Arabidopsis thaliana: one gene and its partners. The protein of the gene in region 1 interacts with the protein of each later gene in a pairwise test. Each region holds a gene or a part of one and is shown in the gene's direction. Other genes may lie near its edges.

The links.
Region 2: the proteins of NF-YB4 (region 1) and AT2G47890 interact in a two-hybrid assay, tested with the Arabidopsis thaliana proteins (one large-scale study listed by BioGRID).
Region 3: the proteins of NF-YB4 (region 1) and NF-YC7 interact in a two-hybrid assay, tested with the Arabidopsis thaliana proteins (3 studies listed by BioGRID).

Annotation. Positions count from the first base shown.
Region 1 is NC_003070.9:2,906,188-2,913,944, reverse strand, and holds NF-YB4 (nuclear factor Y, subunit B4), read left to right. Parts: upstream 1-4,912; 5' UTR 4,913-4,914; coding exon 4,915-5,334; downstream 5,335-7,757. Other genes in the region: AT1G09040 (arginine-glutamic acid dipeptide repeat protein), read right to left, coding at 1-780, 858-1,583. UniProt on the Arabidopsis thaliana protein: Component of the NF-Y/HAP transcription factor complex. The NF-Y complex stimulates the transcription of various genes by recognizing and binding to a CCAAT motif in promoters.
Region 2 is NC_003071.7:19,606,156-19,612,435, forward strand, and holds AT2G47890 (B-box type zinc finger protein with CCT domain-containing protein), read left to right. Parts: upstream 1-1,840; 5' UTR 1,841-2,089; coding exon 2,090-2,560; intron 2,561-2,638; coding exon 2,639-2,800; coding exon of another isoform or gene 2,801-2,881; exon of another isoform or gene 2,882-2,883; coding exon 2,884-3,155; coding exon of another isoform or gene 3,156-3,159; exon of another isoform or gene 3,160-3,227; coding exon 3,228-3,321; 3' UTR 3,322-4,132; downstream 4,133-6,280. Other genes in the region: TLP3 (tubby like protein 3), read right to left, coding at 5,041-5,515, 5,612-5,791, 5,869-6,004, 6,092-6,179, 6,267-6,280.
Region 3 is NC_003076.8:20,552,972-20,557,488, reverse strand, and holds NF-YC7 (nuclear factor Y, subunit C7), read left to right. Parts: upstream 1-1,730; coding exon 1,731-2,369; downstream 2,370-4,517. UniProt on the Arabidopsis thaliana protein: Stimulates the transcription of various genes by recognizing and binding to a CCAAT motif in promoters.

The DNA of each region.
Region 1 (7,757 bases):
ATTCTGACTGTCCAGAGAATTTTTAAGCACAGGAGAATCTTTAACTTCTAGACGAACGTTTGGCTCAGAAACTACTAGACACTCTGCATTCAGATTCCGTAAATCACACAACTTTCCTCCAGTAGCCAAACTAGTGTCCACAACAGTGAATTTCATTCCCAGAGTTCCACGGTTAGAACATGGAGACCTGAGGTAACGGTGTCTTAGACTATCAGACGGGACAGACTCTTCATCTGACTTGTCAGAAGAAAGCTCTGCAGCAACTCCTCCTGTTTCATTCTCAAGAAGTTCAGGCTCTGACACAACCTTTGTTAGAATATCACTGACGGAATCAAAGTAGTGATCTCCTTTGACAAGCTCCTGTCTTGAAAACTTTTTCACGCCAGGGACAATGAAAACAATGTAATCCTTAGATTTGAAATAGCCACGGTCCTCTGGCTGCTGTGAATGCCATCCTCTGGCTAGCAAACGCGGCCATACAGCGCCCCAGAATATATCATTGCAACGGGCTTTGCTCAGACGAGAACAGCCAGTTAACTGATTTATTATGCCAGCCGATGTGAGGGAATTGTAATCCCCTTCTCCAGGGACCAAAGAAGATTTTGAAGAAACAGTGAACCATGGTTTGGTCTTCATTGGTGTTGATGTAGGAACCGTGAGATCTTCTTTTTCTTTACCAATCGCCACAGCGTCTACCAGAAGCCTGAGACCCACAAGATTCTTCACTGCACTTACGTATTTCTCTAGAGTGATAGTACCTTCAGCAAATGACTTTGAGACCTGCGAATAGTAAGATCAATGAAAAAACAAATATACAGTGGTTAAGCATTCCGCATTAGGATGTGAAAGAGACTCACATCCACAAGTATCTGTTTCTGAGGTTCATCAGGAATAGAAGGCATCAAACGGGTTAACAATTGTTGTTGCCTCCAACCTGAATAGAGCGTTCTTCCAAATACACATTTGCGGTTGCGCTTCTTTCGGGATTCAGACCAACTGTGGTACTTTGCAGAATTGTAGAACTTCCCATAGTAAAACAACATGATCTCTCCTATTCCTTTGTTCTCCATGAAATTCTTCACCTGAGTAAAGTTCTTCCCAAATGTATACAGACCAAGAACAAAGCTAGCCACCTCCAAATCTTCCCAAGAACTGGACGGTATCACAGGAACAGCCTCAAGATTCGATCTTTGCTTCTTGGTTTCCGAATTCTTGTCACTCTTTCCTCTGATCTTGGCAGAGCAACGGCTTTTTTTGGCTCTTAAAGACTTCAAGGACTGGTTCATGTCAACATTGTCATCTCCATTTCCTTGCCCTCTTCTATGTTTGTCTATCCACATGACTTGGACAGGTAGTCCGATGAGAAAAGAATATGACGAATCATCCAAAGCAACAGGAGTCGAAAGAAACACAGCACGCTTGGTTGCAGACATCATAGGAGGAATGTCGACCTGAAATTCATCTCCAACACGAGGCTCAACTTGTGGATCTCCGCAGGGAAACTCATCATCATAGGAATCTTCTTCGGTAACAGCTGTTGTTTCTTCCATAAGATTATTCTCGGCACCCATCAGAAGAACCATCCTCAACGTAGTGAAACCTGAACAAGCACAAAAGAACTGCATTTTCAACATCATAGGAATCTCAAACTGCTGAAAAAATGTAACCTTTCAAGAACATAAAAACTGTGAACATCATCTAAATCAAACAGCAAAGGGAAATCAATCCTAGTTTCCTTGCAAATAGATACTACTAAGAAGCAAAAACACGAAGATAAAAGACCCAACTTGGAAATTCACTACCCTAAGTATGAACATTGAAATTAACTATGAAAGATACAAACAAAACCGCAAGGAGCTCAAATACATACATTGTACAGAGCAACACGACGGGGTAAAGTAATAAAGCTCAGATATTTAAGATCACGGTACCAAACTGAAGATTCAACTACCTCAGATCGTGAAAGAAGTTGTTGAGGGATACCAAATACATTCGATTCAATCAAAAGACTTGATCATTGAAACAAACACAGACACAGGAATTAAAGCAAAACCCACAAAAGCACGAAGCCTAGGAAAGAGATAAAATCTAGTATTTTCAGAGCCAAGTTCCGTAGAACAACTGACCCAGATTCATAATCAGACCTGATCAAAGCAAAACCCATAGGCATCGATCCCGAACATGAAAAAGTTGTATGTAATTCTCAATGATCTCGTAAAGGATTAACCAAGAGACGAACATATGACAATGGTAAGCAAGAAAAGCAGGAAAAGTCGAAATCTTTACGCAAGAGACAAAAACATGGAACACACAAATTCTAAAACAAAAGTTGGGTACTTGATATCAAAAGCATCCCCGATTGTTAGTTCTCTCGATTTCTAGTAAAGCAGTAGCGTTGCGACACAAGAAACCCCAGAAAGAGGAAAGCAAACCCGAAAACATGAATTGCCAAACACGGCAAAAGGAGATAGATTTGATAACCTGAGTTAGTTTATGAGATGTCTCAACTTTGCAATGTTAGAGATTGTGGCACTTTGAGAATCTGGAGTTGGCAACAGGAACAAAGACAACGAAGAATTGTTCGTGTTTGTGGATAGAGAGAAAGAGCACTGGTCGCTCTTTCAACACGAAGTCTTCGAGAGGAGAATGAGGCACATAAAAGGAGAGAAATATTATGAGAGAGTCGCAATATAAAGATCTTTTTTTTTTATATGCACTTTGGAGATTTTCATTGGCTATTTTAAGGGTTTTATTAGAGTGTTTTTATTGTTTTCAGTTTTAACTTTTAAGTGTTCAAAGTTATAAAAAAAAAATATACTTTGAAGTTGTGGACGTGTTTTGTGTTCTCCATTATTTGATTCGGTGTGTTACTACTAGGTTTTTCTTTTTCTTTTTACGATAATTGATGATATCGTTTCATGCTACAATTTCAATCAATATTAAAATGATATAAATTTTTAAGAAAACAGTTATAATACTTTTTAATGTGTATGATGAAGAGACCCAAGATAATATATATTGAACTCTCATATGCTAGACTAGAAGTAGAATTTACATCCAAAATATGGCATACGATCAAACAATATGTTGTACTTTTGCCAAAATAATTCAAAAAAGTGTTGGATAAAACACTTAAAGCCGAGGTGGATGAATGGAAGCCTTTAAGCCAAGGTTAAAAAAACAGTCGATGGACTTCAAAGTTAATATTGGGCTAAAAATTGAAGGACCCATTGACGAAGAAAAAGTGAAACAAACTTAATATCAGAAAACAGAAAGCCCATATGGTTCTTCTATCATTTCAAGGCATGCAAACCGTAAAATTGTTTTCAGTTTGGGATCCGACTTGGAATTTGGAAAAGAGAATAATAAACCCACCAATACACTATGAAATGAGAATAATAAAATACTCCATGGGTTACAAAAGACAGCATTGGCGAATTATTAATTATCATGTTTAAGCATACAATATAATTAGCAAGCAAAAAATAGGAGACCGTTAACAACTTTCCAATTGAAGTGTGATGCAATTGATAAATTAAGGGCAAAAAGTGTGATGCTTTTCACAAAGAAATAAAACTTTACATACACTTTTTTTCTAATTGGTTGTGAATGGTTAAGTCAACTCAGTTTCGAAGTATGTAGAACATCTTTTTAAATCGCATAATCCGGTTTTTAATTAATGACGTATTCTAGGTTTTTTTTTTTAAGTGCGTATATTCTAAGTTCTTACGTAAATATATGTCTTTAAAAAGATTATAATGATTAGTTAAGCCTCTCTATACCATGAATAAAGTGCAGAATGTAAAGGAAATGCTCTAAGAACTCCAAAAAAAAAAAAAAAGAAGAAGAAGGAAATGCCTGAAACTTTCCATCTTTCCGTTAATAGACTAGCAAGAACTCGAACAAAATGTGTGTTCACACATCTTCTACGATATTTTTTCCCAAACGAAAGGTTTATCATTTTCCCCAAAAATTAGGATACATATTCGACTAGAGACGTTCACCTACGATCACCAATTCATTAGGAATTCTTGATTATACAAAATATTATAAAATCATTATATTTAGACAATCCAAATCCAAATCCACAAGATACAAAATCGTGATAGTTTGACGTTTCATAATGCCTCATGTGGCTTACAATATGCTTAGGGTTTGAACCCATATCTAAAATGCACATGCTCTTAGTATATAAACCAATGACTTGGCCAATATAGACCCATTGAATATTTGTATTGGTTAACTTCTAACGACGAAATTTCTCAATATTTTGTTTTTAGCTATTGCCTTTTATATAGATTTGGTGAATTTTTGCGCAGTATTGCTAATAATTAAATAAGTATTTATTTTTAAAACATATTAAAACCAAAGGTCAAATGCATGCGAGTGGCCGTACTGGATTATGCGGATTACGTGCCTCGAATTTCATATTTTCTATAATACAATTAAGGTTTTGACATTCCATAAGCCAACCATTGCTTCATCAAGAATAATTTCTTTTACCAAAGTAGCTACGCTCTAATCAAAATTAAAGTTAAGATTTAATTTTAGATATTAATTTAGTATTAACTTGTCATATACAGTACTGTACGTAGATATCCGTATGTATTAGACGGATTGATGATGCATATGGATCAAAGCTAAGCCACAATCACCAAACAGGTATAAACGATTCTGCTATAGCTTATATAAGCTTAATTCACATACATATATACAGAGAGAATCTTAGACATATATTATATATATAGTATGTAATAAATTAAGAGTAGGTTCAAGTAGTACATCTACTCATCATACACATACACACCCTATATAATCTATATATAGAGAGAGGGAGGGTCATATAGGACAACTTGTATAAAAAGGTTATAAGAGAAGCGAGAGCTGATAGATTCACTGAAACAAAAGAGAAAAATGACAGACGAAGATAGATTGTTGCCAATAGCCAATGTAGGGAGACTTATGAAGCAAATCCTACCATCAAATGCAAAGATCTCAAAAGAAGCAAAACAAACAGTTCAAGAATGTGCAACAGAGTTCATAAGCTTTGTTACATGCGAAGCATCAGAGAAGTGCCACAGGGAGAATCGGAAGACGGTGAATGGAGACGACATCTGGTGGGCTCTCAGCACTCTCGGCCTCGATAACTATGCTGACGCCGTGGGTAGGCATCTTCACAAGTACCGTGAAGCCGAGAGAGAAAGAACTGAGCACAACAAAGGTAGCAATGATAGTGGGAATGAGAAAGAAACCAACACTAGAAGTGATGTACAGAACCAATCGACAAAATTTATTAGAGTTGTTGAGAAGGGAAGCAGCTCCTCGGCCCGTTGAACTAGACATCTAAGTTCTGAATTATTTACTATGAAGCCAAGAAAGATCTGTAGAGAGACCAGAAGGATTCAATAATGTCAATGTTGAATCATTAATACAATGTACATGTTTGTAATTGATTTCTAAACATGAGTTTCTACATACATATATATAAATCTATGATATTTCTTCTTGCAAGCAAATAACGTGTAATTTAGACTTAGAATATTGGTCGGTTCGAACAATAGGAAGAGGAGAAGATAGCAGAAACAAGGTACTAGCAAGATGATTTTGGTTTTCTTTTTCCTTTTGGTATATATATCACCGCATAGGTCGATCCAAGGCTTTCCATAAACATAATAGGCCAAAAAATAAGAGCTTTTTGTATATCTTACCGCATATATCCATTGATGGATCTGTTACAGTGGCTAGAACAATGATATTTTTTAATCCCCATATGCCTAATGGCCTTCTGGAGCCTGAGGCTAGTGTTAACCAAAATAAAGGAGCATTGGGACTTGACCATTTAAAATGAAATCCTAAAGAAGTCAGAAAGTAATTAGTTCACATTAAAGGAGAAGGAAGCTTAGAAAGTTGACACTTGCCAGATTTTATTTCACATGTAAGTAGATTGGTCTCTACAAAACTTAAGAACAAGAAAAAAAAAAAATCCAACTAAGTTAAAGTCAATATTTCTTCTTTTGCCAAAAAAAAAAAAAAAAACAGCTAATAGAACTAAGAACAACCAATAGGGGAGATGATAAGGTTTTTTTTTTAGTTTATCGTAAAACTAAAGATGTCAAAAGGGTCTAGGGTTTGAATAGAGAGAGTAATAGGTTCAGAAAAAAAAAACAACCCCGAGACTATGAGGACCACAACCTTATGGGCACACTAAACCTAAAATTTTATATGAATGTTTCAAGATTTGTATATCTTATGACATGCTCGCTTTATGGTTATCTGCAAATGGGGTAGTTTTATATCATCAAATAAATAAGAAAGTTAGAAACAATTCATGAAAGAAAGATGCAGCCTATAGTTTATGTAGAGCTTTCTTGGGACCACTTCTCAACTATCTTATGTTCTTGCTCTAATCAACTAAGATTGAACAAGTAACATATATAAGAGATTAGTTCAAAGAGACAAAAGCTGAAATCACAAACATCAAGATCTTTATTTATCAATAACTATACCAAGATAGTAAGTAACATCCCATAGTACATTTTAAACTATTAGTATACCAATGTAGTAACACGCAATGTTTTGCTATGTACTAATATTAACCTTAACAATGTTATATCTGACATCTATGTACTTAATGATTCTAGGGATAAATGTTTGTTTCCATTGGCTCAAACCATGGAATCGCGGCATTGAGCTCCTGCACAGGCAGGCAGCGATGCCTCGGGAACCATGAGCGCGAATATTTTAAGGTAACAACCAGTACAACCCACATCTGATGTACCCATTGCGAAGGACAAAGAGAAAGATGAAGAGGACAGGTCCATGTGAAATATAATAGCTTATTATGTTGATTTTACTTACAACCATTAAGGTTGCAGCATGGACCAAGAAATATAATAGCTTTATGATGATTTTAGGCAAGTTGCTGAACTTGATTCCTATGAAAAATGAGATGCACGCATGTCAAAAGTTCTTCAAGTGAAAGAAAAGTGCTATTTGATACCATCTTAGTTTTCTCTCTTCAGTTATTAACTATTTGTAGTAGTGGACTATTCGGGAACAACTCATTTCTAATGAAATTTTAAAGCTTGGCATTATGTAAGAACACATATATATTTCAGATTAGGTTTTCGTTTGACTGACGAGAAACAAAATAAAGAATGTGCAAGAAAAATTGGTATACAAATTATTTAACTATTTTTACAAAACTGTGTAATCTTCCAAACCTAATTTCAATGATATTATACTTCTGGTGACGTGAACGTTCTCGTAAAACAAAAAACAAAAATCATCGAAATTATACTTACGGACAAAGAGTTATGGACTATCTATTTTGGAAGGAGAAAAAGAGAACCATCAGAAATTGCCTACAAGAGAACCATCAATGATAAACTCAGATTTTGACTTTTGTACCCGAAAGAGAAAGAACCATCAATGAAACTGCTTGCGCGTTAGTCTCCCAATATTTTTCCCAGCTTTGATGTTTCCTTAAATTCCTTTTTGGGCAAGGTTACAAAGAACTAGGCTATGCTATATTGTATAATCTAAGCTTTTCACTTTGATTGATTTCATATCAAAAAAAAAAAGAAAGAAAGAAGGAGCATATGTGATGTAATTGGAGAGTTGTTTAGACTAAGAGAAAAATGTATTCAGTGGAGGCTAAAGAAATTCTTCTCGAAATCTGATGCAAAACCCATAACTGAAAGAAAAGAAGAAGAAAGAACTCTTTGAATTAGTTCCCGAGCCAAAGATCATATACA
Region 2 (6,280 bases), on another chromosome or scaffold:
AAGCAGTTTGAGGAAGAGGATGGAAGATCTTTCGCGGTCCAAGTATATCATGGCTACACAAAATCACTGCTCTTTTTGCGTTCCTTTATTCTTGAGTATCTTCACGTTTAATTTACTATTATTTTCTAATGAAAAATTGTACACCTTTTTATATATATGAACTCTTTGTTTTTTCGTTAGTTGCTCGTGTAGTAAATTAAACATATATGCTCATAATCAATAAAAACATACAATGTTAGAAGAAAAAAATACAATTTTTTTTACTAACGAATCATATGAATAGTTGTTTTATATACGGTACATTAACGATCCTCTCATCAGCTTTATAGATAACGAAGCATATTATTCTCCTTAGTTCCGCTTTTTATCACTTGAGATTAAACTCTACTCACAGGTTTAAGCACGTAAATTAGTTACTAAATAATGGATTTGACATTTACGCTTTGCATGCTTATATATGTTACCCATAATTATTTCCCTTTAGTTACTTAAAGTTACCAAAATCAACTACTTCAAGATTCTCCAATCAAAAGAAGCGTGTAAAAGCCTCTATAGTTATATAGTAGTATATAGACCTTGAAGATTTCTTTTTGAAGAAAATATGATTATACTGAGTTCAAAAGGTCGAAAAGAAATAATAAAGGTAGAATCCCTTTACATGATGTGTGGAACAACTTTTCTTGACCTCCAACTTCTTGGGATCGTGGGAAATATATAGGAGAATCTAATCGGAAGTTGTACAGAACGTGTAAGAACTAAGAACCATATTCACTTTGTTGTCATTGTTATAAGATTCAAGATTCTTTGACCGGCGCGTGAAAAAAGCATCCACCTATAGGCTCAAGATTCGTGTCCAAGAAAATATCGAGAACCGATGATTACTTGGAAAGTGGACCATTTTTTAAAAAATCAAAAATTAAAAAAGGAACGTAGCTCATGCGAATAGTTTAGTCCACCAAAGTGAAATGGTAGAACATTTGGTTTCAGTTTAGTTGTGTGTATTTTTATTAAAGGCTTCAGAATCAATTTCGATTTTTGAAAAATGAGTTTTTATAGCCATGTTAGTATGTTACGAGGATGGAAAAGCAACCTAGCTAGATTATCTTGTGATATGTGTTATTGTTCAAGAGAAGTAGGGGCAGTAGTTGTCGAGATCATGTTATTAGTGTCGCTGGAATGTTAGATATTGCCCATCCTGTCTCTTTTTCCCCATCGTGCCCTAAAAGTCAAACTATGCATGGTATTAGCTAATCTTGAATAGGTTTAATTCAGTACGGAAACTCTAATTGAAAACTACCTTCATGGAGTAATAGTTATCGAGGAACGATGATGAGGTATTAGTGGAGATAAGCAGATTTGGACTCAATATCAAAAATTAATGGTGGGATCCATTTCCGTTTCACCTAATATACATAGTGGCAAACAAAAAACAAATATAAGAAGAAAAGATTCAGTATCGAGCATTCTAGCTATGTCGGTAACGTGACAAAGTCCTTTTTTTCGTTTGTCTGTTTCTTTAAAGTTAATCAAATCGGCCAACGCTGCCTCAACAACGAGCTTCCTTTTTCTAACGTCCCTAATTTGCCACGTCCATTTTCTGGACTAGTCCCGGTTTAAAAAATCTTCAGAGATGTATTCGTGGTCAACTTCATTAACTCTTTCTCTTGAGCCCTTCATTAGTTATGATCTTATTTACTTTTTAAAAATCTAACCAAGTACTGTATATTATATATGTGGTAGCCAAAATATTATGTTAAATTCTAGGCTAATCCGATATATCAAGAAAAATCAATATATAAAAATGGAGAGCTATTTTTCACGAGTTAAGTGAGAGAGATGAGTAAAGAAAGGCACGGGAAGGTGAAGAGAGTGTAGGTTTCCAGCTTCTTCCCCAAGAAATAAAATGTATTTGACTTTGTCTAAGCAAATATGTCGTCACTTTAACGTCATTCATTACCTAGAATGCAATTAAGATATGGCTTTTACATAAGCCACCAAATTTGGTTTTGTTGCCCCAAAATATCCCAAGAAAAGATCAACTTCTTCTTCTTACCAAAACTGTCGGCGTCGTCTCCTCTAAGCTCCTCCCATGGAAGCAGAAGAAGGTCATCAGCGTGACCGCCTCTGCGACTATTGCGACTCCTCCGTGGCTCTTGTCTACTGCAAAGCTGACTCCGCCAAGCTCTGCCTCGCCTGCGACAAGCAAGTCCACGTCGCCAACCAACTCTTCGCCAAACACTTCAGGTCACTTCTCTGCGACTCCTGCAACGAATCTCCCTCTTCCCTTTTCTGCGAGACTGAAAGGTCTGTTCTTTGCCAGAACTGCGACTGGCAACACCACACCGCCTCTTCCTCCCTTCATAGCCGCAGACCCTTTGAAGGATTTACCGGCTGTCCCTCCGTGCCTGAGTTGCTGGCCATCGTTGGCCTCGATGACCTCACTCTCGATTCCGGATTGCTTTGGGAGTCACCTGAGATCGTTAGCCTCAACGACCTTATTGTTTCGGGCGGGTCGGGTACTCATAACTTCCGGGCCACGGATGTTCCTCCTCTGCCTAAGGTATAACTTGCTCTGTTTTTTTTCTCGAGCCAATTGCTCGGTTTTTATATTTCTCTGAAATGTTTTGAAATGCTCCAGAATCGTCACGCCACCTGCGGGAAATACAAAGATGAGATGATCCGACAGCTCCGTGGACTATCCAGATCTGAGCCTGGTTGTCTGAAATTTGAAACCCCAGATGCTGAGATCGATGCCGGGTTCCAATTCCTAGCGCCGGATTTGTTTTCTACATGCGAGCTGGTAATAGAGACTGCTATTGGTTGTGTTTTCTTGTGCTTGTCAAATGATTTTCCAGCTTATAAATCTCTCTTGTCAATATGAAGGAGAGTGGACTGAAATGGTTCGATCAGCAAGATCATGAGGACTTTCCATATTGCTCTCTGCTAAAGAACTTGTCGGAGTCAGATGAGAAACCTGAGAATGTAGACCGAGAGTCATCGGTGATGGTTCCCGTTTCCGGCTGCTTAAACCGATGTGAGGAAGAGACTGTGATGGTTCCGGTTATCACTAGTACAAGGTCGATGACACATGAGATCAACAGTCTTGAGAGGAACTCTGCTCTCTCTCGCTACAAAGAAAAGAAGAAGTCTCGAAGGTAAACAAGCTAATTTAAAAAGTGAGACACCACCAATAGGATTGGGATTTGAATCATGTGTTGATGAAACAGGTACGAGAAACACATCAGGTATGAATCACGCAAGGTTCGTGCAGAAAGCAGGACAAGAATCAGGGGACGTTTCGCCAAGGCAGCAGATCCATGAATGATGATGAGGTTACTTTGATAATCAAAAATCTTTTGTATTAATCGAATCATATAGTGTGTATGATCAGATAAGTTTTTGTATTCTAAGCTTAGGAGTTATCACTGTATATCGACCACACTCTCAAAATTGTCACTTAAGAATAGTTTTTTTTTTGTTTTGCCTCCGATTCCTAATTTGCCAAAGGGCAAGCATGGACGAGCACAGAACAAAACATGGTTCACAGTTATATACAATCTCAAGACAAGCAAGCAGCAAAAGAACTTGTTGTAATGTTAGAAAGTGAGATTGGACCCATTAAAGATCCATGGAGCAAGAAGGGCTTGATGTAATTGATATTATGGGCTCAAGTTGTAACATAGTAAACCCAATATAGGTTGGCATGTTTGGGCCATTTTCTTTTAAAGCCCAAATATAAAAGCGTCTCTTCCCGATGGCCGGCGAAACAGAAATTCCGCTGCCGTCGCAGCTTTCACTCTTGTTTTTTTATTCAGATGAAATTGGATGGCCGATGAAGACAAACATCCAAAGGCATGGGCTCGCGGCAACAACTATTTGCAATCTACCAATATATAATAATCTGAGGCAGTATAAAAATACAAAAAAAAATGACAACACTTTTTGGCAGATCATTCCTGCTACGATGAATCTGTCCCAATGATAATCTGAGAAGTAAAGTAAGTTTTGGTTGAACAAGGAATCTGGAGTGGGTTTTACTTGTTGAGCAATCAGTAAGCACTAAATCATGTATCAGAGTTGTGGTTATATTCTCTATGTTCTTCTTAGAATTCAAATATGAATCTGACTTGGAGTTCTTTATTTTAATGATGGTTAATTTTACTGTTAATATTTTTGGATTTGAACATTTGGTGAAGAGTGGTTGCAGCTTGAAGCAATTTTGCATCTCTCACTCTTCGTTTACTGTTTGTTGACGTTGAAGATTAGGCCCCAACAAACTTGTATATAAGAGCCCTTCTCTGTTTATTCTCCTGTCTTAAGAGCGCTAAATCCCTTGGAGACATCTTCACCACACTGTTCAGAGATCTGTCATGGGCCCCGGAGGACCAGGAGGACCCGGAGGACCAGGGTTCTTGCCACCGGGAGGACCAGGCTTCTTCCCACCCATTGGTGGTTTCTTTTCTGGGTTCTCCGACATGATATGTTCCTGGTAAAGACATTCTCTGTTTTGCTATGTGTTTTGTAAAGAGTTAAGTGGTTAGTCTGACTGTGGAATCTTGCAGTCTATCTTGTCTGTGCTGCTGCTGGCTGCTACGAGATTGCTTTGGCGGCCCACCGCCACAAGGACCGCCACTTCTGCCACCCTATTATTGACCACATCTGACTCCATTGGTCACTCGAATAATATTAAAGCTATCTCTGTATAGGATATTGCAGATGTTTGTCAAATTCAATCTTAAATATAATAATTCAAATGTCTCAATTTCTGCTCTGTGTGGATATATATTACCCAAAAAACGATCAAATTAATTATCAGAGAAATGAAATCATAGTCTGGAACTACAATCACTAGCAACACAATGCAACAACAACAACAACAAACACAATCTACTGTCTTCGATTCTTGACTCTTCTCTTGTATGGACTTGCCAAGACTTTTGAAACTATGTACACACACTTCTAAGACGAGGCCAAACCAGTCTTCTCTTTCAACATGATACAACTAAATAAACACGGAGTCACAGGGTTTGATGGAATTAATCATTCACATGCTATCTTGGTGTCGAAACTGCTGAGGCAAATGGTGAAGGCCTGGAAGGCAGAGATAGGGTACTGATAATCCATTGTGAACACATCTTTTCCGACTTTTCCAAACTGGAGAATCACGTTTTCGTGCTCAGGTCCTGCAGGTCCATTCTCAGGAGCAGCTACCAGCTGAAAGTTTTTGACGGAAGCAACTGTGACTCTCCCATTGAAGTTGAGGCACCAGCACTGGAGCTGTTCGTGCCATCTGGGCGCTTTGTTTTTCAGGACAAGCAGTCCTTCCTTCTGAGCAGCAGATGATGGACCAGAAGGGAGACTCTCTGCACGAATTGATTTCGACCTGAAGAAGGAGAATGAGGGGAAACTATCAAGATTGCTATGGACAAGTTCCGTCTGAGTTGGAGCTGTTCCTCCAGGTTCTACAGCTGATGCAGGGATGGCATCCATGACACACTGCATCCTCCTCGGTCCTCTGGTATGATACGACAATGTTCACAATTAGCAAAAGCCATATTAAGCAACTACCGTTTTATCTCACAATGTATCTGTAAGCAAGGAGATAAATCACCTGGAACCCAAGACGTTAAGCTCATATGAGATATGTGCTACAGGATAGTTGCCAGATGGAATTCTCGGGCTCACTTGTTTCAAACTGAGAAGTCTGCTTGAACGGGTTCTGGTAACCTGAGTTCCAGGATTCGTCGGCTGAGCGTCATAGACAGTGAACTTGGTCCCCAGAAAGTTAGATCTGAAAGAAAGTTAAGATAAGAGAAAGGTTATGGCAAATATATGAAAAAACCATGGGGTCAATCTGTAGCTAAGTACCTAAGCTTTCCGATATAGGTATTGCTTCCTCGAGAGACATCATCGCAGTTTAAGGAGATGATGTAGTCAGTGCAAGTTGGCCTCCGAAACCTCTTGGCAGCAAGAAGGAACTTTCCATCATCATTTGAAGCTGCTGCTGGACCAGAAAAAGTAAACCTTTGAGTGTTATTCAGAAAGAGATTAGGTATGCAAAGAGAAAAGAAGAAGCATCTGTTAGTTTCACCTTGGTTTAACCCGAGGTATAGATAGTAGGTTTGATTGCTGCGGTTTCTCATAATATAGCATTGAACAAGTGATCCTCTAGGACCCGGCTAAAAGGAAGTAGGGAAAAACGATTAGCCTGGATAAGCACACAAGTCATTTATAAAGTAAAGAGAGAATGTGATGGGATACTCAACCTGTTTGAGGGAGA
Region 3 (4,517 bases), on another chromosome or scaffold:
TTTTTTTAAAGTAATATTAAGGGCCCCATTTCATGTAAAAGTTTTTTTCTCCAAATATATTGGGCCATTTATTAGATATTTTCAGTCAAATTAATTTTTTTATAAAATATGGCCTTTTTAAAAAATAATTCAGAAAAAATCATGGAATCATGGGCTACTGCCCTTTTGCCCATCCTATTTGGGCCGAGCTTGTTATCATCAACCTCGACCCAATGGGTGAGTCGTAAGGTGTGAGGGTCAAGACTTTTTTTATTTTTGAAGTAAAATTGATATATAAAAAACCCATATTTTATAAAACAACTTATAATTAGCCCAAAATTATAGTTCAAAACCCCATTTTTTGTTTTAAAAATAATAAGCCTGATTTTGTTTTTTAAATAAAGCTTTTTATAGCAAAAACAAATTGGGTAACCTTACATCTCTAATTTTATTTGGGATGGGGCTGATTATCATCACAAGGACTATGCATAAATGTTTTCAATAACTCCATATCAATAAAAAATAATCTGGTTTGATTGCTTTTATCCAGCTAACTAAATTTCACACCAAATGTTGAACTCATCATTGTTTTTTCTAGATTTTGCATGATTCGTTTGTTCAAGTAATCAGGTTCGACTTTCGATTAAAGCCTAAAAATCTCATGAAACAAAGGTTTTAGGCAAAGAACTCTCTATATAAATATATAGGCGCATCATTTCATAAAAAGTTTATTTCCGAAAAGTTGATGGATATCCGCTTTAGGTGACCAGTTCGATCCTAATTTCCTAACTTTTGTAATTTCTTTTTAACAGGTGACGGCAAATTATGTTTGGACCGGCCCTAAAAGTAGTAATTATTTCCTTTAAAAATAATATCTAAGGTTAAGAGAAACATATTCTTTACATAAACAATATCTTTGGATGTTTAAATTTTAAGCTTGATATTTTAACGAACTTTGGCGCGAAAACCATCTATTCAAATATCTCTTTCCACCACTTGTGTTTTCATTGATTTGGAATTGTTATCTGCATTGAGATATCTTTGAATGATGAAACATGTTCCTTTGCTACCTTTAAATTAATGCTTCAGATTAGATCGGTCTCATGCACAAGACAAATTGACATACATATTTGCATCTTTGAAATGCTGACAATATTTGCAATCTCCTAAGAATGATAACACAAAGAAGCAGGCCAAGCATTGGATTTTAAGTACACAACTATAGCTTTTTCACTCGAAGCCAAAGTCACCTTATCTATGCGGAAACTCCACATACTTTCCATTGCGCATTAGAAAATTCTCAGTTTGGTATCTTCCCACTAATTACCACTCCAAGGCACCACTTATAGTTTTCTTCTTTGACTAATCAGATCTTGGGCACAAAACCATTGACGACATTCCTCATATGCTAGCTTTCACATACTTCCCTAAATTGGTTAGTATAAAATCCACCTTATCTAAAGCTATAGTTGACTAATAGCTTTCACCTTATCTAAATTTTATAAGTTTTAAAATTTATAAAATCCAAAAAGTATTGGTTAACAAAAATTTATAATGAATAGAAAGTGAGGTTTTGTATTTTGGGATTTCACATATATTAGTAAATATTGTATAACACAAAACAAAATATTAATAAAAAATAAATTTTATTTTTGAGAAAATAGTTGGGCTGATTTCGTAGCCCACTTAATCAGCCTTTAAATATGGAAACCCTAGCCTAGAAAGTGAACAAGAAAAACGTAAAGATCAAAATGGAAGAGAACAACGGCAACAACAACCACTACCTGCCGCAACCATCGTCTTCCCAACTGCCGCCGCCACCATTGTATTATCAATCAATGCCGTTGCCGTCATATTCACTGCCGCTGCCGTACTCACCGCAGATGCGGAATTATTGGATTGCGCAGATGGGAAACGCAACTGATGTTAAGCATCATGCGTTTCCACTAACCAGGATAAAGAAAATCATGAAGTCCAACCCGGAAGTGAACATGGTCACTGCAGAGGCTCCGGTCCTTATATCGAAGGCCTGTGAGATGCTCATTCTTGATCTCACAATGCGATCGTGGCTTCATACCGTGGAGGGCGGTCGCCAAACTCTCAAGAGATCCGATACGCTCACGAGATCCGATATCTCCGCCGCAACGACTCGTAGTTTCAAATTTACCTTCCTTGGCGACGTTGTCCCAAGAGACCCTTCCGTCGTTACCGATGATCCCGTGCTACATCCGGACGGTGAAGTACTTCCTCCGGGAACGGTGATAGGATATCCGGTGTTTGATTGTAATGGTGTGTACGCGTCACCGCCACAGATGCAGGAGTGGCCGGCGGTGCCTGGTGACGGAGAGGAGGCAGCTGGGGAAATTGGAGGAAGCAGCGGCGGTAATTGAAAAGTGTTGATTGGGTTTTAGGGTTGTAATGCTTTTGTGAGAATTTGTATCTCTATCGAGTCATGTTTGTTGTTGTTGTTGTTATTATGTTTTGCTTTCGTTAATGTCATGTGTTCTGTTGTTGTTGGTGTTATGTGTAGTCTTCCATGTGAAATATCACATAGAAGACTAAACATAACATCAACAACACCAAAACACATGGCATTAACGAAAGCAAATGGAAGACAATGGAATTTTAGTTAACTCTTATTTTCTTCTTTGCTTTAGATTAGTTTATGCCAAAGAATCACCAAAATATTCGCAGTTCATTACGAAAAAACACAATGAACTAGGCATAAATGTCAATTACCATAAAAAACATATACTACTAGCTCCATCTTCTAGTTATCCTTTATGAAAGTAGAAAATCCCCATGGCTCATGGTATTAATTTTGTATACGTTGTGAATATGTAGGCATCATGATCTTAGGATCTAGTAAGAGATCTTTTTGAATCCCGAATCTATGTTCGTAAATTTTCCAGCATTTTGATTTTAAAATGGATTTTCGCGTGAAAGTTATACTCCGGTTTTATTATGCAACGAAATTTTACTTGCAAACCGCTGATATATTATTCCAGTTTTCTCAATTTGGCATGAGTTGTTTCTCACATAGTATATTTCGTTTTCAAGATATGAACATCTAATGTGTAAAAGATCTATTGAAAATATAGTTGTGGAACACCTTGAAAATTGTTGTGGATAACAAGTGTTCGTAAAACAAACATTGTTCGTAACGACCAATTAGGAGCCACATAATAAAACCAAATATTTTCACTTCGTAATCATTAGATAAAAAAAAATCTTTGAATATTTACTTTTTTTTTAAGCAATAAATCTTTCTTCTTATGAAAAGATAGAAAACAATCTAGACAATTTAATTTTTAGAAGCAATAAATCCTTCTGTTTATGAAAAGGGTCCTCACTCTTATATATATACTTGGTTTCATTTTCTTTTTACTTTAAATGGCTACATTAAAGAGTAGCCAGAAAACATAAATAAAAACTCCAAAACACTACTTTCTCGGTTTTATATTATAAGTTGTTTTAGCCAAATTATTTTGATTCTTAACATAAGATGTTTTAGACAAATAATTCAAATTTCTATGCAAGCGTAGAATTTATATACTTTTATGACTATATATATATTATGCAGTAACGAATTTCATTGGCCAAACTCACTTTAATTAACTAAATATTAAATTATGTTTTTAATTTAGAAAAAATATATAAAAAGATAAATTAATTATTTAAACTTTGTGTTTAAACATCATATTTTTTTAAACAATGGGAGTACCATAGTTACCGTTAATTTAGAGAGAAAAAGTTCTTATTTAAAACTTCAAATGTATTCGTTTTATGAGTTTCTAAAAAAACCAACTAAAGATTTTGAGTATGGAGGAAACAACGGCAAAAACTGAAGTGTGGTTTGTAATTTAAGATTTCTAACCGCTTTCGTGAGAATTTGAATTACTTTTCAAGTTATGTTTTTGAATTTAAAGTGTGTAATGTTAGGACCTAAAGACTTGAATTTCCAAATATATTCAAAAAAAAAAATGTTATGATTTTTATTGTGAAAATGGAGAGTGAAGGCAAGTTGTTAGGCATAAAATATGTAGAACAAACAATATGTATTCCTTAAAAAAGGATAAACACTTTGAAGATTTGAAGAAACGAATTTTGGATGCTTCTAGATTTTCAGAATGGATAAAATTCAAAAGAATATGCAACACTCAATTCATATCTCAAAGAGAATGAGGAAAAACTGAGGTATTCTCTATGTTAAGATAAGGAGGCAATAAAGGAGGAAGAGACATAAAATCCTAGAAAAACAATATTGTTCAACAATTGAAATTTTTTCAAACAATCATTCAAGACCTACAGATACAGTATAAATTTATTCTATTGTCAGAAACATGACCATCTAGTAGTATTAGTAGATGAATATGCATATGGCGATCATTGCTTTGATGATCTGAATAAAATCACACTCTTTCTGTTAGTTTCAAATGCTGGAGACTTAAGTTTCTTTACAAATAGATAAATTATCTACTACATCGTTGAATAGAAGTTGAGGAGTAACCAAAACATTTAGTTGAGGAAGTTGTAAC